2 linked regions of the Struthio camelus genome follow. The protein of the gene in region 1 purifies or fractionates together with the protein of each later gene. This does not show direct contact. Links are inferred from orthologs where the notes say so. Each region holds a gene or a part of one and is shown on either strand. Other genes may lie near its edges.

Region 1 (12,692 bases):
TGAGTCATGCCTCAAAACAATGCAGTGAAGAACAGCATGTTAAGAGAGGACCAGGAGGAGCAGATGGTGGGGCATAGCAGACTGGACTGCTTGTGGGGGAGATTGTTCCAGCAGCATGGAAGACGACACAAACGCGTGGGATGACACACTGAAAACAACTGTCACACAAAACAACAGGGAGAAACAAAAATGCCTTTTTTGGATTATTAAGAATTAGATTATTTCCTTGAGGAATGACAGCTTCCAACAACATTCAGTACTACCTGTTGCAAAGGTGTTAGAGCTCAACAGCTGAAATCTTACACTAGCCAAGGGGCAAAACAGTTGCAGCCCCTTGAAAGAACACTGTCAGTAATCCCATCAGATAATTAGCTTCCATGCTACATCGATAGTTGTTTTTCTCCTGACAAGGAGAGACACCACTAGACATAAGGACTTTGGAGTCATTCCAAATGGAAGCTCTGGGTTTTGATGATCGAAGGGTTCTTGCTGTTCTCCCCCACATACACATCCTCTCACCTTGTATTCTCCTTCAGTAGTTTCAGTTTACGCCACGCACTTCCATCCTCAATCCCTAACTAAATTTAACTGAACTGTAGGTAGCCTGTGCATGACAGCAGAAGAGAGAACTAAGCATACAGGCCTGTGCTACACTAGCTGCACAGAGATCCTTTTTGGCTCTTGCTCTCTGCATGGGGTTACAGAAACAGGGTTAGGAAGACTCCCGTGAGGTCATTCTGTCCCTCTCTCTGCCCCAAGGCAGCTTTGGGCCTGCCTGATAAAAATCCACATAGGATCACCTGGGTTCATCATGCCATAAGGAACAACAGGAATATAGCCCACTACTTCTTGTCTACACACTCAAGAGTTTTCAAAAGCTTTTGTGGCTGACAGAATAAAGAAACAAACAGAAAAAAAAAATCACATCAAGATGTGCAGCAAAGCCAAGAAGAAAGCACATGGTTCACGCGCCCTGGCAACTGCTTTAGGCAGGTACTCATTTTTACAATCCCACTAATGTCCCAACTACCCCAGTGCTCTCCTTGCCAAATCTGGATGATTCTGCAAGGATTATCATCCCCCTCAACAGGCTCAGCTCTAAAACAACATCAAAACAGCAGTCTTCATATCATGAGAAATGTGCTTTTTACCTTAAAACCAAAATAGTTGTAGGAGAAGTCTCTATCATAGATAATGGCAGAATTCAGGCGCTGAGAGGAAAGAACATGGATTTATATTTACGTTCAGATTATTTGTGGCTCATATTTTCAGTATAACAATGCTATCATTGTTCTGCATTTCTAGCCTCACAAATCCAGCGAAACAGATATTTCACGCAGGAGGGAATAAAGCATGGAAAAGCACTTAGTCTGAAACAACAAATGCACAGTTTTAACGAACTTTTTCAAATACAATGCACAGTCATTGGCTACATTTTGCTGAAGTCTCTAACTAGATACTAAGAAATAGAAGATAGAATCAAAATGTGAATGTGCCTTCTCAGTAAGAGCACAGGACTTGCACAACTTGAAATTAGACACCAAACCTCCTCTCTCCCTTCTGTGCACACAGAAGAGGTTGCTACAACAAAAGGCACTTTTTTGCAGAGATCATGACAATGAGGACATCTAAGAAAACAGATCTTGCTACAGGAATATCTTGCTGCAGGAATATCCTTAAACGAAGGAAATTCCAACACCTTTTCTCCTACTCTCCAGAACAGAGCAGTTATCTTCACTGGTTTTCTGTACTGGCCTTTTGGGGCTAAAACAGACATTGCTTCCATAGAAATAAGAAAAATAAACTGTCTAAACTAGTTCACTGAATCTTCAGAACTTTAGAACTGGATAAATGTTACATACATCTTTGTTGGCCAAAACTATCTCTAGAGTTTCTTTGGAGATCATTGGCGAGTGCTTCCCATTATGAGGGTTTATGTAGTTGTAGAGATCATCCATCACATCTACAGCAGAAACGTGTTTAAAAAGAGAGACAAAGCAAGTCACCCACAGACATACGTTCACATAATTTGTCATTAATTTTCAAGGATTTAACCAACAGGACTACTCAGCCTCCAAAATAACCCCCTCCAGCTCTACATGCACACAACCTCTCACCTTCATAACACAGTCCAACTTATTTTCTACCTGCTCAGTGCTATTATTTTCTACTGACCTTGAAAAAGCACTTTGCTTAGAATATTTTTTAATAGAATTCATCATTCGGTGACAGCTAGAGAATTTCTGTCTAGCCAACAAAGTTCAGCAGGCAATTCCACTTTAGAGGCAATAAGCTTTTCAAATTGATTCTCTTTTCACAGGTTTAGAGATTTTGTTTTTAAAGTGTGAAAAGAAAGTGGGTGCATCCTAATTTCAATCAATTACATTCTTCAGTCTCTTTTATACAGATATTTTTCGCAAAACAATTTGATTTTCCTTGCGACATGCATAAAACTGATGTTTTTCATTCCCTTGGCATTTTTAGTTGGCCTAGGTATTTAATTTCTGCTAATAAAGAGCTTTACGTATTTATATCCTCCAGAACTCCTACTCCCTTTCTGACTAACTGCTCTCCACACGCCCCCAGACAGACTTACCACTGAATACTTTCTTAGTTTCTTTGTGCAAATTGGACACTGCAATTCTCGCTGCCAGGATAGCATAGTCAGGGTGTTTGGTAGTCAGAGTCGCAGCCGTTTCAGCAGCCAGCGTATCCAGTTCCACTGTTGTGACACCACTGTATAGCCCCTGAATTACCTTCATGGTGATCTGGGCCTGAAACAGCAAAATTCTGCAGATTAGCAATCTTTTGTTTAAAAAAAGAAAAAAAATTTTCAACCATTTAAAAGAAATAAAACATGCTTCGCTATAAGGGGTACCTTTCATTCTGTCTGAACAGCAAAGCAAACTAAAATACAAAATCCTCTTGATAAAGTACTGATTCCTAAAGTTTTTAAACCAAGAGATAGTAGGGCCAGAAAGACAGCAGGGAAAGAGTGAAGAAAATACAAACTGTCAACACAGAATCACCAAGAACTTTCTGAACATAGACACTTTCCTAAAGGCTCGCATAAAGTAGCAGCAAAGTGCATGGAATAAAAGTCACATTAAAACTTTACTTGCCTGGAAGTTTTAAAACTCCAAATGAGTTTAAAACTTGACTTTGTAAATGCCTGATGAGACTTGGAATCTGTTATACTTTAAATTTTATGATGACAAGAGCAAAAAACTCCACCCTGGACAAGTCAAAAAGGATTTTGCTTCATGGCTTAACCTCATCTTCATCTATCCATTGGGACCTTTCCTGGGAAGAGACTTCTGCATCTGCTGCTTCGAGAATCTTCTCTGCTTTTCTCTCAAGCATTTAGTGCTGATCACTACAATCAGCATTTAGTGCTGATCACTACTGTAGTGATCAATATCACTACAATAGTGATATTCTACACTGAAGAACAGAGGTCTGACCTAACACGGTAACCGCCACATACGTTTGAAGTGCCTACAGCCTTACGAAACCAGCACGTGTAATTTTCAAACTTTACTCTCTGTAAGGAAGCATTCAGATTAAGAATTTTTGTTATTTCCTTGTAAATCATCTGTCATGAGAAGTTCTGAATCCAAAAGGAGAAATCCAAGTCCAGGAAGAGATATCCCACACACTCCCGCAGAATAAATAAAAATACATTGCTTCACGTAAAATTAGCTTTGCTATTAAGATGAGGGTACAAAGAGTCAGGAAGCCTAGGGACTTTATTTCTGTCCTCATCATCAACTCCCTCTGTCATTCAGATCAAGTCAATATACTCTCTATTTCAGCATTACTTTTTTGGTACAGAATCAATGTCAGATATTTTACAGATGTAATTGAAGACAAGAAAACAAATCACAAGATCTTGGAGATGTGAAGAGCCTAAGTTGACAACTCCAAATGAACAGACTAGCTTTGCACATCGGCGTAAAAATCTCACAGATGTCAATGGATCCACGAGGCTGTGGAAGGAGAAGCTCGTAGAGGTGGGATTACTAAGCACCCAAAATCATAGACAGCTCGGAAAAGTAAAGTAGGGATATAATGGCAGGGGAGTTCCGTCACAGATAAAGGGCACCTTTCCATTTTATTAAGAGAGGACCAAGATTTATTTTCCATACAGCATTGTTTAGCTTTGCAAATTGAAACAGAAAGCAATCAACTAAAATATGCGAGCTGGAGCAACAAACAACTCAAAGTACAAGAAGCATAATCACCTCCCTCAAACCCAGTCTCAGACTTTGTACTTGTGAGGCAAGAAAAACCCCAAAACACAAACAGCTAGAAGAAACACATTATGGAAAAATAGAGTAGTCAATGTATTTGCCAACAGTTCCTGCACAGGCTGCCGTGCTTAGCTTTCCCTTTGCTAAAAGGAAGGCAAAAAATGGATAGCACCTGCTCAAAACTATTGGCTTTTAGCAAAGATCACCACAAGGGGTAGAGAACAGGAAAAGAGGAGAGAGGACAGACTCACTGGATCAACAAAGTCAGCATTGAGCCCATAGCATAGCTTCTGGATGCGTGACGTGATCTTGTCAAACATGACACGCTCTTGGCGTCCATCTGTTGAGGAAGAAGTTACAAACACAACAGCTCCCGTTACACCAAGAAGCAGTTAAAAACAGTATCCTTCTACCCAGGAGATCACACAATAAGGAGCCAACTCTCTTCTGCGGGAAGTCAGGGCGGGAATCACCAAGGACTACCCGTTTAGGTTTCCTGTTCAGGCTCAAGAGGAAGGGAAAAAAGGTGGCTAGCCCTCTAACCCCCTACCAGAGGTGTCACCCCACACCCTGCCCCCATGGCCTGGACAGGGATCCCCCCACCACGGGGTCACCCCACACCCTGCCCTCCACAGGGACCCCCCCCCCACCACAGGGGTCACCCCACAGCCTGCACCCCACTGCCTCCACAGGAAACCCCCCCCCACCACAGGGGTCACCCCACACCCTGCCCCCCCGCTGCCTCCACAGGGACCCCCCCCACCACAGGGGTCACCCCACACCCTCCCCCCCGATGCCTCCACAGGGACCCCCCCCACCACAGGGGTCACCCCACACCCTCCCCCCCCACTGCCTCCACAGGGACCCCCCTCACCACAGGGGTCACCCCACACCCTGCCCCCCCACTGCCTCCACAGGAAACCCCACCCCACCACAGGGGTCACCCCACACCCTGCCCCCCCGCTGCCTCGACAGGGACCCCCCCCCACCACAGGGGTCACCCCACACCCTGCCCCCCCACTGCCTCCACAGGGACCCCCCCCCACCATAGGGGTCACCCCACACCCTGCCCCCCCACTGCCTCCACAGGGACCCCCCTCACCACAGGGGTCACCCCACACCCTGCCCCCCCACTGCCTCCACAGGGACCCCCCCCCACCACAGGGGTCACCCCACACCCGACCCCCCCGCTGCCTCCACAGGGACCCCCCCCTCCACCACAGGGGTCACCCCCACGCTGCCCCCCGCGGTGCCCCCCGGGCCGCGCCATCCCCAGCCCCGCCGCCCGGCCCCCACCTCGCTTCACGACGTGCATGGCGGCGGTCGGCGTCCCGGCGCGCGGGCTTTCCAACGGCTCCTCGGCGCCAAGCGCGGACTAAACGCTTCCCGCTCCCGCCAACTGCGCTGGCCCCGCCGCGCCGCCGTAGCGCTCCGCCCCCCCCGGCTGAGGCCGCTGCCGCCGCCATCTTGGCTCCGGGCACTGCCGCCTTTTCAGCTCCTTCCCTCACCACCGGGATTTCACGCGCTGCCTCTAACCCCTTCGCGGAGGCTCATCCTTAACTACATCCCCATCCTTCCCCCTCTCCTCCCGGAAAACACCACCCTAGCAGCGGCAGCCGAGTCGTTTGCCCGCTTCCAAGATGGCGACCGACCTCCCACCCTCTCCTTCGAGAGCGGCGGCGAGACGAGAACGGGCCGTTTACGCCAGCCCGAGGGCGCGACGTACGGAGCCGCCGGAGGGACAAAATACCCCCGTTTTGCAAAAAATAATTACAACAACGAGACTACCGTTGTAGTAATAACAACAATTACGCTAATTATGCCAAAGCAAGGCCCAGGCAGAGCATTCAGTGCGGTTCTCCCAACAAGGGGCGCCTGCACAGCCCCTCTCTGCCCACAGAAGGCCCTTGCCGGTGAGGGGCCGGGGCGAGGACAACGGCACATGGACGACCGCCGCGTCCTGCAGCCGCCGTTTTCCCCCCAAAACGCGGGAAACGCCCCGATTGGCAGCGGCGCCCGCCCGGAGGGGACAACGTGGTGCCCTCGGGTGCCCCGGGCCTGCCCGGGCAGGGCGCCGCCCCGGAAAGCTCACCAGGTTTCAGGTGATGGTGGCACGACCCGTGAGGAAAGACGGGCGCTGCGGGGGACGTCGGTTGGCCCCGCGCCGACGCCGACCCCAAACGGGCGGTTACCGGCGCGGGGAGACGGACGCGGTGGCAGGGGCTGACGGCCCCCCGTGCCCTCCTCGGCAAGGGTGAGACTCGGGAACGTCTGGACCTGAGCAGGAAATGACAGTCCATTTTGGGGCCATTTTTCTGCGTTATGGGAAAAGACCCTACAGGATTAAAAAAAAAAAAAGAAGAAAAAAAACAGCATTGTGGTTTATTTGAGCCTTCTGAGTTGCGCTCGCAGCTCTTTGCCCTCAAGTTCTCCTAGGTTTTGCTTTAGGACCACTCTTTTTCACTCTTTTTTTATTTGTTTATAAATAAATATATATTTTATAATGCATATATATATTTTTATATATATATATAATCTATATAATCATATATATTACATATAATATATATTTATATTTATTTTTTTATAAATATATAGATAAATGTGTGTGTGTGTGTGTGTATGTATATTTTATATATATTATGTGGAAGGCCGGGCCTCCCGCTGGCCTGAGTCTTCCCCAGCTAGGAGACTACCTCTGGGCTAGAACAGCGCTCCAAACTAAGGCAGGTTTGTTTCAGTGCCTTAAATGCATGTGATACGAAGAGGGGGGTCTACGGCGCCGGGGATGAGGGGGCGGACGTGCAGCGGGACGCTCAGCTCCCAGCTCTCGCTGACGCGCGAGGTCGTGCCGAGGATGGAGGGAGAACGGGGAGCCTGAGCCCAAGCCCAGCGCTTGGCCTGCTCTGCGGGCACCGGGGAGGCTAGGCCAGCTGGAAACGGCGGAGGTTTGCGATGTGCTCCTCTACAGCGACGTGCTGTGTGGCGTGGTGATGCCAGCCCCTCTTCTGGACCAAGGCGTCCAAGCCGTCCCTTTCAACAGGCCTCTTTTCCAAAAAGACGAGTCAAGACCCCATCAGGCCTCGTTTCTAAAAGAGCCACTGGTGATACTGATGGTTACAGAGCTGACTGCATAAGCAGCAAAGCTGCGCAAGTCTCGAGTTCGCGTCTTCCCTCTGGATGAGGGGAGTCACCCTGGTGCTCCCCACCCCCCGAGGAGCCCTGTCCCAGCCAGGCTGTACGTGTCCTCAGGAGGGAGGCTCTCTCCACTTCTCCCGATGACCATCTCCTGCTTTCCACACCCCTGTTGGCTTCTGTTGTGTGTTCGGAGGTCATCTGCTGGACTGGGACCTGCAGAAGACGTATCCCGAAGATCTTGAGAGCGCTGCAGTGCCAGGCTGTGCCAGCGGTTCTGGTGCACGTGCAGAGCTGTGGGGCTTAAGAAACGTTACTGGCCAAAGCAGGCAAACCATGAGGGTGAGGTGGAGGCCTGGAGTCATGGACTTAGCTGCATGGAGGCGTCTTAATCCTACTAGGGACAGGGAGCCCACCCTGCTCTGTGGCCCTGGCTCTGGATGCCTCTAGGCTCTAGTGGAGGCTTTGAGCATTTTGTGGGATAACTAAGGGGATCTAGTCTGTAAGGAGAGAATACAGAGCCTCCTCCTCTTGCTTGTTTGGTGTGTCGTGGTACACCGTGCTGGGTTCTGAGAAAACTGATTTCCCAACTCTGATTGATTATTGCTCCCTCACTTGCCTTGGGACAACTGTTTGCAAGGCTGTGCCATAAGCAAGACCACCAAAATTATCCACGTTAAACATGCCTCTTTCATTCCACTCCTCTCTTGGGTGGCATTACTTTTACTCTAGCTCAGTTCCTTGACCCAGAAACATCCATAGAAACGCTGTTCATTTGAAGGTAGTCCCTGTTGTAAGCTCGAGGGCGTTGCACCGCCGCAGGACCGCAACTGTGCTCTGGCAGATGGCGTGAGGTGGAGGCAACCGCAGTCACCACGTGGCGTGTCTCTTTCTTCCTTTGGTTTTCTCCCATGATGAGCTTCCTTTTCCTCCTGAGTTAGATTCAATCGCAGTCACCTCCCCCCCCCGCCCAGAGACATGAGTTTATAGCCTTTCCGAGGGAGTCACGAGCTGAGCGGAAAAATGGGCAAGTCAAGACCCAATCCCACTCTGCAGAAGTGTTTTGTACTGAAAATAATGTTTCTGCTTAGTCCAGATTAGAAATCTGCCCCGTTCTCCGCTCTCCCTTCCCTACTGCGGTGGCGGGGGATAGTCCCGGTGGAAGGGATCCTTCCCGCTGCCGAGGAACCTGCTCCGCTCAGAGATTAGGAACAGCTGGCTCCAGATGCAGTGTCATGGAAATGGCCAAAGAGAGGCAGGACCAGCGCATCAATCACAAAAAAAAACCCGCACGCAATATTGAGGGACACACAGAAGGTGGTGTGCGTTCCCTGGAAGACGCAGCGGAAAGGAGGTGGAAACGTTAAGAGCAGAAGACAGGTCAATGGCTGGTAGAAATACTGACTCACTCCTGGATGGATCACAGTTTTAAGTCGAGCTCTCTTTCAGCAGCTGCTGCTACTGCCGAGGCTGAGCCTGTGCAAAGGCAGCAGCAGTCGGTCTCCCAGAAAACCAGCACCGCTATTTCTGCTCCTTGCGCAGCTGGCCAGTTTTCCAGCAAACAGGCCAGGAGAGCACAGACTGGTGTAAGGGAGAATAGGGTGACAGTAAGGGGTGTCTTTGGGGTTGCACCCATCCAGGCTGACATGGAAAGGGAGATGGAGCCGTTTCTCAAATTGCTCCTTCCTTCCACCTGGCAGCTTGGAGGGGACAGCGGACTGCTCCTATCCCGTATCGCTCCTCCGTGTCCCTCTGCACCGAGCTCCCCTTCCTCGCGTCCCCAGACCTGCTGGGGCGGGAGACTGGCGCCGTCGGCTCCCTCCTGCAGCAGGCTGGGGCTGGCCAGCTGGGGACGGCACCACGGCGCTCGCTGCCGCGTGGGACAGCCCCGGCCTCGCCGAGAGCCCGGCAGGAAAACCACGTCCCAGCAGAGGCTTGGTGCTGAGCGGGGCCTCCCCAGTGCACACCCGGCACCGAGCGAGCCCGGGGGTCCCGTCCGACCCCAGCCCCGGCGCCGAAACTCGTACTGGGCGGGAGGGGGGGGGTGATGCCTCCGGTCCCTCCCGGCTGCCAACCCCGGTGGGACAGAGGGTTTGCAGGGGGTGGTGCAGGCTGGGGCTCCCGGGGACCGTGGCCCGGGGCGGAGCTGCACCTGGCGCAGGTGAGCCGAGCGCCGGCCCTCCGGCCCGCCGAGCAGGAAATGCCGTGCACCGGCCGCCTCGCCGCGCCGGGGCTCCCGGCCCCCGCCGCACCGCCGGAGCCCACGGTAGGACGGGGCCCCCGCCGGGACGCCCCTGCCCGGCAGCGCCGGGGCTGCAGGTGCCCCCGTCCCTGGCGCCGGGCGCTGCAGCGTGCGGGTCTCCCTGCCCAGCCCCGATTACGCGGGGAGCAGAACTGGGAACCGCGGGGCTCGCTGCGGCACTTGGTGCCTTGGGCGCTGGCAGCCCAGGCGCCGAGGGGATGGCGAGGCTGCGGGTCTCCGTCTGGCTCCGCTGCCCTTGCAACTCCACCGCCGTGTGGCAGTGCAAAGGTCAAAGTGCCCTTTCCCCATCGCGGCCGGGTAGAGGTCTCCTTGCGGAGACCCCCGGGGCTGCAGTCTGGCAGAGCTGCTGGGATTTCAGCAAGCGGCCGGAGCCTGGGCACGGGGCAGAGCGCGGTGCCCCCCGCCTGGGGGTGGCCCTGCATCCCGGGGGTTTGGGCGGGCGGCGCGGGGCTCACGCCGAGGGCGGCTGGGGGCGATGCTTTGCAGAGGCCAGAGCATCGCTGCAAGGGGCTGGCATGACCCCGCCGCTTCCCCTTCTGTTGGGGAGGCAGCCCGACGGCTCACGCTGCAGGTCGCCTGTCTGCAAGCTGCGCGGGGCCGGGGAGGCCAGGAGCAAAGGGGGTCTGTTGGGTGCACGTGCGGTCTGCTGCCTTCCCAGCCCGTGCCGCTGACTTCCCTTGTGGGGAACGGCCAGAGCAGAGCAGATGGCCCAGGATGACGCCCTGCGAGGGGTGCTTTCCCTGCCACCACTCGGGACAGCAGCCTCAGGAGGCTTTTCTGCCTCTGATGGCACGGCCAACCCACACCGCCAGCTCCCATCGCCTGCGGGTTGGGTCTTTCAAGGCTGCCCCATCACGCTGTCCGTGTGCTGCCTCCTGGGCAGCTCGCCGCGACACGCTGCCAAGCCACCACGGTTCTCCTCCGGGCACCACCGTAAGCCCCTCTGGGCTGCCACCAGCTGGGCTGAAGCCCTTGCCTTGGTCTGCCTTGCCTCCCCGCTTGCCCGCGGTGAGCCGACAGCGAGTGGTGGGGCTGGGGCGCTCACGCTGCCGCGAGCACGGCCGGGCTCCAGGCTGTGCCGAAGGCTGCCGAGCGCTGCGGCCGCTCGCTCTTCCTCGGCCCCATCCTGCATCTCCCTCCTGAGACCTGGTTGCATCTGCCAGCATTTGCTGTGGGCAGGGGCGCTGGGAGCAGATCCCGCTGACCCAGCAGGTAGACCAGATGTGGTGTTCAGGGTATTTGCATTTGCAGATTTTAAGCAGCTGCAGTCCTCTGAAACATGACTGGTAGCGGGTGACGGCAGGAGGGCTCAGCTGAAGCGATAAATGTGCTACCTGCCTTTGCAGGCTCCCATCTGGAGGCTCCTAGGTCTCCTGGCTGCTTTGGGTGTGTGAACAAGGTACCTCACAGCAGCCCTGCAGGAGAAGGGCAAGAGTGGTCTCTTGGGCCAGGAGACTTGCCCAGAGGGTCCTTGAGCGCCTCTGGGCAGTGTGGGACCAGGACAGCGGGAAGCACCAGAGGCTGGGGGACTGCAATCTGTGCTTGGAGCATGGGGCAGCCGTTGCGCAGCCGGCCGGGTCCATCAGGACTTGCTAGGTCTGCGCTGACACTTGCTGTGCCCGGGCTGCCTCTTGTAAATGCACCTGGCATCTTTGTACCAGGCTTCCTGGTGGCCAAATAGCTTTGATACAGTGCCAGCTGCGAGGCAGAGCCCATGGTGAGCCAGTACCCGTGGCACAGCTAATCTGCAGTTCGTTTCAATGACCTGCAGGTAATCCAGATTGATTTCTGGTATCTTATCTGGAAGGAGCATTTTGAGGCTCTCTTTGACTTCTGGAGGAAGCAAGCGCACCCAGGTGCTGGCACGCCTAGGCTGACATCCCCTTGGATCAGGTCCCTGGAGGAAGCTGTGCTCCACCTGCGGACTTTGCACACGAGCAGACATCCCTGCGCCCTGGGCCTGTCTGTGGCCCACAGACTCCTTGCAGAGCACATGAGCCCCAGCCCATCACACGCGGGTGCTTCTCTGTGTCGGGAAACAGGACCCATCCGCGGTCAAGGACCGCAGGAGCGTTGGCTGAGGCTGCAGTGAGAGGCAGCAGGGCGGGTGGAAGGAGCCTAAGCGATGTGTCCCATCGCTTTGGGGAACGTTGCTCTGCTCGGGGTGGCCCAAGGGACTGTCCTTAGTGAGAGCAGAGGTGGAGGGCAGGGGGTAGCCCAACCGCAGGGCTGCAGCAGGAGACGGCGGAGCTCAGCTGAGGCCAGGCTCCTTTGGAGAGGAGGAGGAGGAGGAGGAGGAGGGCGGCGGGGGCCGGCTGACACCTCTCCTGCCCGCGCAGGTGAACATCTTCCAGGCGGAGAGCCCGGGACCCCCGGCGCAGCCCCCCGGCTCGGCCCCGGCCCCCGGCCCGCCGCGGGCCACCTGGGCCGGCAAGCACGAGTTCCTGCTGTCCTGCCTGGGCTACTGCGTGGGGCTGGGCAACGTCTGGCGCTTCCCCTACCTGTGCTACCGCAACGGAGGGGGTGAGTCCGCCCGGCACGGCCGCCCGCGCTCGCAGCCCCTGCCCGGCCCCGGGGGCCCGTGCAAAGCGCCAGGGGGTTATTGCAGCACACCCCGACCCACGCACACGCGTGCACCCTTGCCCCATCCCGCTCCCCCCCCACCCCGGGGCCGGAGGTGAGAGGGGCTGGGGCCGGGCTCGGCCCTTCCCGTAAGCCGGGGAAAGGGATTTTGCCCCCGGGGCAGGGCTGGCGGCGGGGTGCGGGGTGCTTCAGGCGGGGGGGGGGGAAGGGGCTGGGGGAAGGGGGCTGCGGGCAGCCCACGCGTGTCCGCGCTCCCGCCGCCTCCCCCCGGTGCTGCCGGCAGCCCCAGCGGTGGCTGGGTCAGGAAGGGGGAGTTTTCGGGGCGCACGGGTGCGGCGACGGGTGCCGCGGCCGCTGGAGGTCACTGCCGGCTGCGCCCGCGGGATGCTTTCGGCGGCCGGTAGAGCAGCGGCAGGCACCAACCGGCGGTGCTTGAGCAGAGCACCGACGCGCTCGCG
Region 2 (11,847 bases), on another chromosome or scaffold:
TCTTTTAAAATTCTGCAACTGCTTTTCCATATTTCAGTATCATGTTTGTTGTGTAATTAAGGCGTATAAAACAAAGGTAGCAGAAGTTAGCAGATTTTTGTTGGAGGTGCGAGAACATCCAGCTGCAGTTTTGTTGATCCTTCCATCTTTCATGATACGTTTACTTTGTGGTACTCTTCCTCTATATATTATAGAATACCATTAAACTAGGCACTAGATGAATAGTCTCCTACTGTGCATCTGTAAATGGGAAAGTGTGTTTTTAAGAAGCTATCCCAAAATACTTGGAAGTCCATTCAATTGTTAATTATATTCGCTTATGGTAGTTCTTACATCGTGACAAATACTCGAAAGGATAATCCCTTGTTTAGAGAATTTTGAACCAGCCGCCAGATTAATCAAGTTAGAAGCAGGGGATTAAGACAGTTGATAAGCAGGTCAATTTTATTAAATAGTGTGATTAATATACTTCAGAGTTGTAGGGTTTTTTTGGTTTTATTTTTAAGGGGGTGATTGATGTATGAGCTACTGGGCCATCAGCACACTCAAGCTTGTATGCACCAGAGTAATCTGTCAGTGCTAATGGGTCCATTGGGTTTGCTCTGTAGCAGTGCTCCTCTAATCATATGCCCTGGACCAGAATTGAAACCGTTAGTCTTCAGTGCTCTAAAGTATGGAGCTGTGGTGAGTTGGAATATTAAGGAATTTTGTGTGCATATCCTTGGGTAATACATATTAAAGGCTGACCAAAAAAGAGTAGTAGTCATATAATGGCAGATACTTTTAGCTGTATGAAACCATGTTTTCTCATTTTCTTACTGTTAATGTGTTTCTGGTACACTGCTTAGTAATGTGATGCTTAGGCATGTGTGTTTGCTCTCATCAGAAAACTCGATGTAAGAAAAATGAAGCTCTCTTCGTGCTTTGGACCAGTCAGCTGCCCTGCACGGATCTCGCCACTGAACTTTCCTAAGCCCTTGTCCCTGGTGAGACTTGAACTCCTCTCAGCAAGATGCCTAAAAAGCCCCAGGGGTGCAGATCAGGTCCAGATGAGTTGAGTACCTGGTCCACCTCCCAGTTCCCATGCTTAAAAACCTCATACTGGAGAGGGGAGATTTCAGTAATTCTGTGGCAGCTTTGAAACTCCTGAGAAGTCTTTAAAAAACAAACAAACAAAAAAAAAACCAAAACCTGAAAATCCTTAATGCTTGAGAACAAACAAAACAAAAGCTAAATTTCTGGAAAACAGTATGAGAATCACTGGCGCGTACCTTTCTGCGGTTGTGGGTCAGCTGCAGCTTGGATTTGGGAGCGCATGGATGGAGCGGCAGCGGGCAGGGCTCACCTGTGGGTCTGCGGCCTCCCCTCCCCTGTGGGACACCAGGCACCAAATCTTCCCCCCCCCTCTTCCCCCCCCCTCTTCCCCCCCCATCTTCCCCCCCCCTTCCCCTGTCCGCTGGCCTGTTCTCACCGCCTTTGGAGAGTGGTGAAAACAAATTTTAATAGTACTGTCATTAGCGTTGCTTGTGCTCAAAGGACAGTGCAGGCAAATCCAGGGAAAGAGGCAAGGACGTCTTACTGATGACAGATGTCTCAGCATGAGAGCCATTAGCTGGAAGCCGTTCTCGTGTCTCTAGTAGCCAGGGCTGGTTTGAAAAACCTGTAGGCTTTTTTTTTTCTGTACATAGACTGTTTTTTCTCATACACTTTTAGAGTGACTATGGCCACCTTCAGCTCCTGTATCTGTGACAGCTATCAATATTATGTTCAAAGCTGTACGTGTTCTTTAGTAAATTTAACAAAACGATCAAATCTCCCAAGTTTGTCTTCATTGTCATCTCTTAGGCTAGTCTAAAATTTTTTTTTCTCTTTTTTTAAAATTATTTAAAAGAAAAAGAACTGCAGTTCGTGCCAACTATCTCGTTCGTTATTCTGTCCGTAGCCGTAACCAGGGCGAAGGCGCAGGCAGCAGCAGCCCGGAGCGAGCCCGCAGCAAACTGCCCCGGCTCTGCGCTGGGCCCGGCTGAACCGCGGCCAGGGCCTGCTCCCCTAAACCGCGCTGAGGGCGTCGTGCACGCTGCATTGCTACGGATTTTTCTACGCGGGTCTGAAATGGTGTATCTCTGTGAATGTATTCGGGTGTCCCTGTCGCCCCCCCACCCCCCCTTGCTAAGGGACACGCACTTGTGCAGCACCTGCTCTCTCTTGTCCCGGCGCGGCCCGCGAGATGACCGTGCTCCTCCCAAGCCCCCCCGAGCCGTGATGGCTGCCCGGGCGCCCGCCGCTGCTGGAAGGCAGCGCCCGCGGCAGCGCTAACGGCCACGCCTGGCCGCGGTGCTTCACCCCTTTTAAACGATTATCCAGGCGCAGCGCCCGCTCCTCGCCTTCACGGCGGCAAGGAAGCGGGGCGCGCTGCTGCGGCGCTGCCGGCGCAGCTGGAGGCGCCGCGGCGGAGGAGGCGGAGCGGCGGCGGCGGCCGTTCCCCCTTCAACCGCCGCCGCGGCCCAGTCGCCGGGGCCATGGGCGAGCGCCGGGGCCGCGCGGCGCTGCCGGAGGCGGCCGGGCCCGAGCGGGTAAGGGCGGCCGCCGCGGGGCCCTGGGCGGCCGTGGGGGCCTTGGGCGGAGCCGGGGGACCTGCCCGGGCCGGGGCCGGGGCCGGGGCCGGGGCCGGGGCCTGGGCTGGCTGGGCCCTGCCGCTTCCCTCCTCGGCCCTAGGCCCTGGCCCGGCTGTCTGAAAGCTGGGGCCACCTGCCAGCTGGGGGTGGCCTTGGGGGCCACCGCCTCCGAGCGGTGCCGGGCGCGGGGGGCCGACTGCCCGGGGGCTGCCGGCGCGCCTCAGGTCAGCGTCGCCTTTCCTCGTGCTTCGGAGAGCGCTTCCCCCCCCCCTTCCTAAACTTAAACGTGGTTGAGCGCTTAGAGGAGATAAAAACGGGAGAGGCAAGCGCTGTGGCTTGGGAGGGTTGCGATAGTTGTCGTTTCGCGACTGCAGAGAGTACTAAAAAAAATAAGCATACTAAATAACGACAGTGATCCAGGATTTGGAGCCTAGCTGCGTTGGCACCTGCTTTCCCGTTCAGATACAAGGAGGTCACAATCTGCTGTTAGTTTAGCAGGGCCCAGGAGCTTCGAAGCAAGTTGGTCTGCTATTCTGCAGTGGTACAAATACTGATTAAAAGCCGTCCCCAGCTCTGAAGAGTTTACTGCCTAAATAGGTATCGCACGACAGGTCAGGTGCAGAGATATCGTGCAGCAGGTCGGTGGCCGGAGGCACTGGGATCTGTTCAGATCCACAGCCATTGCTCCGGGAGCAGAAAACTGGGCTGCCTGTCGTCTTGTAGGGACATAGGAGCTTGAAAATCGCCTGTAGCTTGCTTTATGTAGAGTGATTTTGGAGTCCATTTTTTATCTGTCATCATGTCATCGCCATGTTCTGCTGGGAGTCGTCTCGCTGAGGTTCACCTGGGCTTGCCCGAGTCCTTGCTTCCCAGAGTGAGCTGGGAATTTGCAGGGCCGGATGGAAGAAGCTTCAATTTAGGCAAGTCAGCTTTTCTTCCTCCCCATCCATAGGAGCTGTGATAAATGGAAGGCCTTAGCGTTACCAGACAGGCCTGTCTTTGTGGCCCTGGTGGACCTGGCCAACCTTGCCAGCACTACTCTTTTCCTCTTTCCTTAGCTATAACTAACACCTGTAGCTGAAGTACTTGTGGATGCATCCTGACAGCTTTTGCTGTGGGGTCATGGTTGTATACATGCATATGTTTACTATTTCCTAGTTTGCTGAATTTAAAATTCTTGGAAGCAACTTTAGTACTACCAGTTGGTCTTAGTACGTGCATTGGTGTTTTATTGACGTCAGCAGAGAAGTTTATCTCCAATAGTTGCAGAATAGCTGGGAGATGTGTGTTTGGCTCATGCTGACTGAATGGAAAATAGCGTAGTCTCGTTGTGAGATTGGGTACTCTTTGGTATTGTGATGAATGTTTGCTCTGTTTTATGCACCGTTGTGAGGTGAAGGACAAACCCACCCAGGATGCTGGATGGAAGCAGGAAGCAGATAGGCTTTCTGAATGTGGAGGCAAACTGGGGAGACCATCTCTGCTAATGCCCCCAGCCAGGAAGGTAGGACCAGGAGTGCGTTGTGCTCCTACAGTGAGGGCTGCCAACTGCTCTGAAACTCCAGCAGTGGTCAGAACATGACGTGTATCAGAAACTGAAACTAAAGGAGGATTTTCTTCCATGAGGTTTCAGATGAGTTGTACCAAGAAGTGTACTGATTAACAAACAGACTAGGTAATAAGTATTACTGAGATGAAACTTTGCTAAGAGGGATAGTACCCAAAACTAGGAGAGGCAATACCTGCTCTGGAGCCAAGCAGCACATGCCTGCTCCTTTTTGGAGTTTGCAGGCATGCAAAACTCTCCTCTGTCTCCAACAGGGATTATATGATATGGGAGGTGGGTTGAGAGGCACATTCCAGTATGATGTATTCTGTAGGGTTTGACTCTTCCTTTGTTTTTAGTTTTATTTATCTATTTATTTATTCTTTTAAATCCACACCACTTTATTGTTCTGCATTGTGGCCCTTCTCAGGGTCACAAGATCCCTTTGAGTCTGCTCCTGGAAGCCATCCTTCTGCTTCCCAGCCATCAAGACCTCCTGTTAGGGTGCGTACACTGCTTCATGGACCTTTTCATCTTTTGCTACTTTTCTGTCTTTACTGTGCATTGACAGTGTTTCTGGTGGGTGTTGGCCCCTCTGTCTGTGGCCTGTGGCACAGTGGCAGCTAAAGGCCATAAGGAAAATCACAAATACTTTTTGCTTCAGTGTTAGTCTTCACTTTTCCTGCCTTACTGGAATTGCTATTTGCTCTTTCTGTGCTCTGCTGTACTTCCACATGCTAAAAGTGTTTTCCAAATTATCTCTGTATGTTATGGATCCAGCATACTGGTTTTTGAATGGCTCAGGTAGCTTTAGTAACTGCTAGTGCATCCTCTTAGGCTAAAATTAATACTTGGGGGTAGTCCCCATGCAATATTGAAGGATTTTGCTCAGGAAAACAGTGGACTAATAAGGAAGCCTTACAGTGTTGCCTTTCACAGGGATGACAGCTGATGCAGAAGTAGATGGAAGGACTAGCTGTGTGGCAGGCCCTGGGGGCATAAGCGCTGAGGCAGAATGCAGTCCCCTAGGATGCTTGAAACTCTCCCCTGTTCAGCAGCGCCCCTGCAGGGTGATGTTGGAAGAATTGTCTCATGTAGTTGAGTAATAACCTAAAATATAATAAACTGGTAAAACTGTAAACCATGATATGGTTTTTGCTGCATTTTCGGTAGGAATCTATGGTAAATATGCCTGTCATGCAATACGTACATATATATATATATACATATATATATATATATATATATATATCTTTAAATGTGGGCAGCACCAATAAGTGATAGAATTATTTTACTTTGGGGTACTTTCCAAACTGAACTAAAGGTTTACCTTTTAGCGTGTGAAAAGTTGCAAGAGGACTGGGTAGAGATAGGACCTTGCCAGTACCTAAGGTGGTGGAAGCAGTGGTGTTTGAACACCTTTTGCTCCCCTTCCCTGCTATATTATAATACATTGTATAATGTTTATTGTAAGTTATCCTCTACAGCTGTGTCAGTAGGATCTCAGATCTCAAGGTGTCCTGCTGATTAAGCTTTTGATGATAACTGTGAGGTCAACGGCACTTTTTGGAGAGGTTGCAGCATACCGTCCTGACAGCTTGTCACCACATCTGTCTTCAGTAGGTGTTTGGTGGTACGTGTCACATGGATGGTGTTAGGCACTGATCACAGGAGCCGATGGCCCTGCTCTTGCTGCTGTTCCCTGGCATATCTCCTACGTGTCAATCTTCCTCTGGTTCTGCTGGGCTCGTAGGTCTCTGAAGGAGCGTTCTGCCCTGGAGTTGATGGGGAGCCTGCGTGCGTGCCGGTGCGATGTACTTCCTCCTGGGGATGCGTAGCTCCAGGCGTGGGGGCTTCGTGCTACCTGCTTTTGAAAGGAGAAACACCTTACTTTGGGGCAGCGTTTTGAGGAAGGAGGACTGCAACCGGACGGACTTCAGAACAGTACCAAGCGTGTGGGCTGTGCTCTGCCTTGCATCCTGTGGGATGCTGTAGGGCATAGTAAATCACTGTATTGTCTATGTGAACCTTAAGGGAAAGAGAATTGCTATGAGATAGAGCTGTTTTGTGTAAGACAGGACTGATCACTGTGATCCAAATGACAATTTTTTTAGGAGAGTCCATGTGGGCCTAAGAACTTTGAAGTAACAGCTGAATTAATTTGAGACAGCCTTGGAAGTGAACTCTGGATAGATATGGTTGGCAGCTAGTGGTAGGTGACCTTGCACGTGTTCCCGCAGTATACACTACCGCGGTGTTTGCTCTCTGCTCCCTGGGCTCTGAGTGCAATTGTGATTTCCTCCTCCTACCGCAGAAAGACTTTCTCTTTTGCACCGAAGTATCAAACACTTCCTGGCACCTGGCAGGAGGACAGTATGTTTAAATTGTGCTAGATAGTGCCAGGCAGAAAGGCAGTGTTCCTGGCCGCAGAGAGGGCATATGGAGGGCCAAAGGGCAAGTACCCTGGGAGAGGGTAATGTCACCCCCTGCGGGGGGCAGGTGAGTGTCTCCATGATGAGGATGGCTTTTAGGCCCTGCCGTCATGATACAGGGAAGCCGAAGGAAGGCAGTAACTGTGCCCTTAACCACAACTGTGCTCTATCTGCAGAACTCCTCTTCGGGTGCCCTTGAAAATGGTTTGAAACCTAATGAAGAGCCCCTTCTCAGGAAAAATCCCCATCGATTTGTCATCTTCCCCATCCAGTACCCAGACATATGGAAAATGTATAAACAGGCTCAAGCTTCCTTTTGGACAGCAGAAGAGGTGAGCTCTGGGGCCCGTGGGGTGGTGCAAGGCTCTTGGACAGGGATCCTGGCATTTCATTCCTGGCTTTGCTGCTGGTTTGTGTTTTGTAACCTTGGGTGGAATTAATTTTATTGAACATCAGGTGTCTGCAGCTGAGGAAGGCTTTCTTCATAGTCAGTGGAAAGAAAGACACTTCCACAGGGCAAATCAGCTGACGTGTTTTTGGTGTCCAGTTTAGGTTGAGGTGGAATTGCATTCAAGGGAACCTCTTTTCTGACTATAGAATGAGTCTAAATCAAATTTGAGGATCTGTATGTGTGAGTGTATGTGTGTATATATATGCGAGTGTGTGTGAGTGTACACCCCCTTCTCCCCACACACACACATTGTGCTATGGTTTCTGAACTTCAGTGTTCTGATTCTCAGAGTGCAGCTACCTCCTTGCCTATATAAAATATTCTGAGCAATTTTATGAGAATGCTCATAATTAGGTACTTATTTTCCAGAAAGGTGATGATAACTGGGGACACTGCAAAAAAAAAAGCCTCTAATTTACTCCAGAGCACCCTGGTTAGATGCTATCCCTGTATTATAAAGCAAACTGTAAGTTAAGACACTTTGTTTTCCCTGAGGTCACTGGTTAGGCAGACCCGAGTAGTGCTGTCTTAGCTAGCTGCACGGAGACTTCGCAACGCCGTGCTGAGCTAGAGCGATCCCCTGCAGGTGAGTGGGGTGTTCAGCTCAGAGCTTCGGTGGTCTTTGGTCTTCTGTGAGCAGTGACCTCCAATTGCTGAGGGATAAACTGAAATCACCGACCGACTCTAAATAGGCCAGAAATTATAATGGGATGAAATGAGTTTGTCTGTAGAAGTGTTATGCCATTCCCTGCCAGGGAAACTTGTCCTGTGTCACTAGAAGTTGATTTAAGCTGTAAGAAGCATTTAAACTCCTGTCTGATAGCATTGCTCTTTTACTGTATTAGTGGTTCCTTCTCATACTGCCCTACCATGTGTCGGCCTATTCCCAGCTGAACTGAAAAGTTAATAGGGAGTGTGTGTGTATATGTGTGTATGTATATATATAATATTAAATGTGTATGTATATATAATATGTGTGTGTATCTATATGTATATACACACGCATGTGTACCTGCTGTATACATATGAATATATATAGTATTTCTGAAAACTACAGACAGACCTATAAATTTTTATACCTATATATTTACATATATATGCATTATAGATACTTATATATGTAAACACATGTATGTTATATCTACATATATAAAAACATTTTTAGGTCCGTTGATAGTTTTCACATCTGGCCCTACTTAACTGCTGCTGTGGTTCAAAACTCCCTCAAAACAAACAAATAAACAAACAAAAAAGGCCTATGCTAAGGAAGTTGTGGTTTTTCTACCGTGGCTACAGTTCAGTCTTCTAGAGGAGAGCAGTTACACAGCATTTGCCCAGGGCTGTTCTTGGGAGGGATGGAGGGTGAACACCTGTCAAAGGCAGAAATGCCCTCAGTGCATCTTCTGGCACACCTGGCTGTAGGTTTCTTGCAATATCAACGTTCTTTGCAAGTAGAATATTAAAGCATCTCGGATTGAGCTCTGCGTATTGATGCATGTTCATACTCATGCCAATGAGATACTGATATTTTTCATAATCTGATTTATTTATAATTCAAAAATTAATACTGTTTTTTTTTTTTTATTCCAAATCATTTCCCAAAATGTGGAAAGCTGCTATGTAAAAGTAAATTAATCCCTTTTTCAGTAGAAATATTGTTGCTGAAGTTTTAGGCCTTCTAGGATTGGAACCCTGAAAGGTTTTACGTTTGCTATGTGTTTCAGAAGATTCACACTTGTTTGTGGGGAAGTAAGCTGCAAAACAGTCACATGAAGTTACAGTTACAGAAACAGAGATACTGCAGTATCTGGTGTACATTTTACATGTATTAAAATTCTTTATAAGTAAAGATTTGACAGCAGACTCCAAAATCCTGCCTCAGTGGTTTGACTATGCTGCTTTTGTTCTTGCAAAATTACAAACACAGAAGGGTAGTAATGTTTTTCTTCTTCTTTTCATTAGGTTGACTTGTCAAAGGACCTGCCGCACTGGAACAAGCTAAAAGCAGATGAAAAATACTTTATCTCTCATGTTCTGGCCTTTTTTGCAGCCAGTGATGGAATTGTAAATGAAAACCTGGTGAGAAAGCTTTACAGAGAGCCTAAATGCTTACTCATTTTTATTAGCAAGCGTCTTTTCACTTTGGTGATCTCATATCAGTGCCATAATTTTGTTATTGAATGTGTAAACTTTCTTCTCACCATCATCTCACCTTTGCCAAGGGAAATAAGCAGCTTATTCTGCTAGGATGAGTGTCTGAATTAAATTAGGTCAACTCTGGTCAGCAGGACTCCAAATTATGTCATTCTTGGACACAGTTTTTTAAGTCCAGCCTTCTGACTGACAGTGTTGATCTGCATTTCTCAATGAATTAATTAAACTCCATGCTCCTTCATGTAATTGTGCTACAGCAGAAGCAGGAGGAGAATTGAGCTATGCCCTCCTCAGCTTTTTTGTTTTGGTAAAACCTCTTTTGCCCTCACTAAATGGCATCCTGGAATCTTTCTGGGCTATAAATGGGTGCTACTGAAGTGCTGGGGAAATCTCCTCTTTCTGTTGAAATCAATTCTGGAATGCAGTATGTCTCATCCCCGGATTACCTCTGGTATCTGAGTGGAAATACTCATTTTAGATCTTCAGCATCTTGAACACGTAGAATATGTCATGAAATATATACACACATACTATGAACATGTCATTGTCATATGGTTTATTTTTTTCAATAATGAACAAAAAGTCTGAGGCTTTGTTCGATGTGAAGTTTTTATTGTTGCGATATTTTGCTGTTCCCCTCCTGTGTGTGTGTGTGCTGTCATGCTTCACTGCACTTTTCTATGCAGTATGCATAGCAGATGTACTTCATCTTGCTTTCTTTAATTTCTTCTGCACCACACCTGGCTTTGTGACATAGCTGTTCATAAAATAGGGCTGAAATGTCCCCATCCTTTCTCCGTGGTAAAGATCAATCATATCTCCTATTAGGCTCGAGAGTGCCAGTATTACTGTACTCATTGGTATGCTTCTTTTTTTTGTTGGTAGGTGGCGCGTTTTAGTCAGGAGGTGCAGATCCCAGAAGCTCGTTGTTTCTATGGCTTTCAGATCCTTATTGAGAATGTTCACTCAGAGATGTACAGCTTGCTTATAGACACTTACATCAAAGATCCTGAGAAAAGGTAATTATCTGAATGTGCTACAGACCCGTGGGAAATGTTGTCCAGTCCAGGGGCACAGTGGCTGGGCAGCAGCTGCGTCCTTCTGTTTCACATTGACGTAGTGTTGGAGTTGGAGACGGTTGGTTAAAGCTTTCTAGGTCTGCCTCCCTGACCCCCAAAACGGAGAGAAGTATTACTGACCAACGAAAGTCCATGAAAGTGTTGAGAAGGTTAGTTAATATTTGTATAGGGTTTTGATTGTAAGAAATGCAGACTGTGTGAACTGTTGTTAAAGATTAGACAAGTCCCCTCTGGTTACTGTGCTCCTGAGGTGCCTGTTCTCACATCAGCAAAGGATCTGCCTCTATGAATTTAGTGCTCTTTACCCAACTGGGGTTGGTAATATATGCTAACCAATGTATTACTTCCTTTTTTTTTTTAATGGTTGGTGCTTTTCCATACAACTTGAGCTATTAATTTTAAAGTACTGAGTTTTTTGGAGAGACCCATCACCTTTGTCACCTGGAGATCTGCCTAGTCCAAATGATAATACCTTTGAAAAGAAGCACTTCCCCTCAGAGACTGTGCTATGGCAATGGGCAGGCAGAGCCCAGTTTCCTAGAGTGGCATCCTGTGGGGTGAAGTGTTGTCCTCCATCCTCAAGGCACAAGGCTATTGGGAAAGCTGCAAGGTTTTCTTTCAGCTATTTAGCATGGGAACAGAGACTGCGCTTGTGGGAGCTGTGTCCAGTTCTTTTTGTGGAAAAAGGAAAGATGGACGTTTTCATGGAACTGGGAAAGGTGAGGTTTAGCTTCTTGAGCAGGGACTAGCAACCAGCTGGCTTGGAGTATGAGAGGCAGCATGGCCTGGTGGATGGACGGGCACTTCTTCGATAGGTAGGAGGCCCGTGTTTGCTTCCTGTCTCTGCAGCTCACCTTCTCTGAGACCTTGGGTAGATCCCTTCCCCTTTCTGCCCATGTGCTTCTGTCTGTGCCCTGTTATCAGAGATCACACGGTCTTTAGGGTAACGACTGTCTCTGATTTAGTTCAGAGCCTAGCATGGTGGGTTCCACTGCCTGTTGGAGCCTGTAGAGACATCCAGAACAGGTAAATCACTTTTGTGTGATTACTCTGATGTTTTATTTGTTTCCTTTTATAGGGATTTTTTATTTAATGCTATTGAAACAATGCCTTGTGTCAAGAAGAAGGCAGATTGGGCTCTGAAGTGGATTGAAGACAGAGAATCTACTTTTGGTGTGTAGCCTCTTAAAAGTTGTTTCTGTTGCACATGCCACAAACTAAACCTCTGGGAGTGAGCTGCAGTCCTGGAATGTGAAACAAAATTTTCCAGAGGTGATGCAGTGGCTTTGTGGGTCTCCTGGTTTAATTAAAGGACTAGAAATAGCTTCTGGTGAGCATATATGTTTTAATCTTCAGATAAAGCAACACAGTAGTGGGGATGCCCACAGGAATCACAGCTTGAAGTGCTTGTGGGTTCCTCTGTCTATCTTTTTTTCTTCATACCAAGCAACCCTAGCTCTTTCAATCTTTGCTTGTAGATCTTGTTTCTTAGACTTCTGATTCTCTCTTCCAGTTGGTTCCTGTCTTGTACTCTATTATTCAAAACTGGATGGCTGAAGTCTGACAAGTC

What was found.
Region 2: the proteins of RRM1 (region 1) and RRM2B purify together in Homo sapiens (affinity purification with western blotting; 3 studies listed by BioGRID and IntAct, counting the BioPlex papers as one, with this or other methods). This does not show direct contact. The link is inferred for Struthio camelus from reciprocal best matches to the Homo sapiens genes RRM1 and RRM2B.

The regions. Positions count from the first base shown.
Region 1 is NC_090942.1:224,376,114-224,388,805, reverse strand, and holds the start of RRM1 (ribonucleoside-diphosphate reductase large subunit), read right to left. Parts: upstream 5,986-12,692; 5' UTR 5,569-5,985; coding exon 5,550-5,568; intron 4,594-5,549; coding exon 4,505-4,593; intron 2,775-4,504; coding exon 2,597-2,774; intron 1,964-2,596; coding exon 1,863-1,963; intron 1,212-1,862; coding exon 1,152-1,211; intron 1-1,151. Other genes in the region: sodium-dependent proline transporter-like, read left to right, coding at 9,589-9,654, 11,991-12,174. UniProt on the Homo sapiens protein: Provides the precursors necessary for DNA synthesis. Catalyzes the biosynthesis of deoxyribonucleotides from the corresponding ribonucleotides.
Region 2 is NC_090943.1:145,617,731-145,629,577, forward strand, and holds the start of RRM2B (ribonucleoside-diphosphate reductase subunit M2 B), read left to right. Parts: upstream 1-6,466; 5' UTR 6,467-6,600; coding exon 6,601-6,660; intron 6,661-6,769; coding exon 6,770-6,925; intron 6,926-9,006; coding exon 9,007-9,123; intron 9,124-10,083; coding exon 10,084-10,217; intron 10,218-11,355; coding exon 11,356-11,450; intron 11,451-11,847.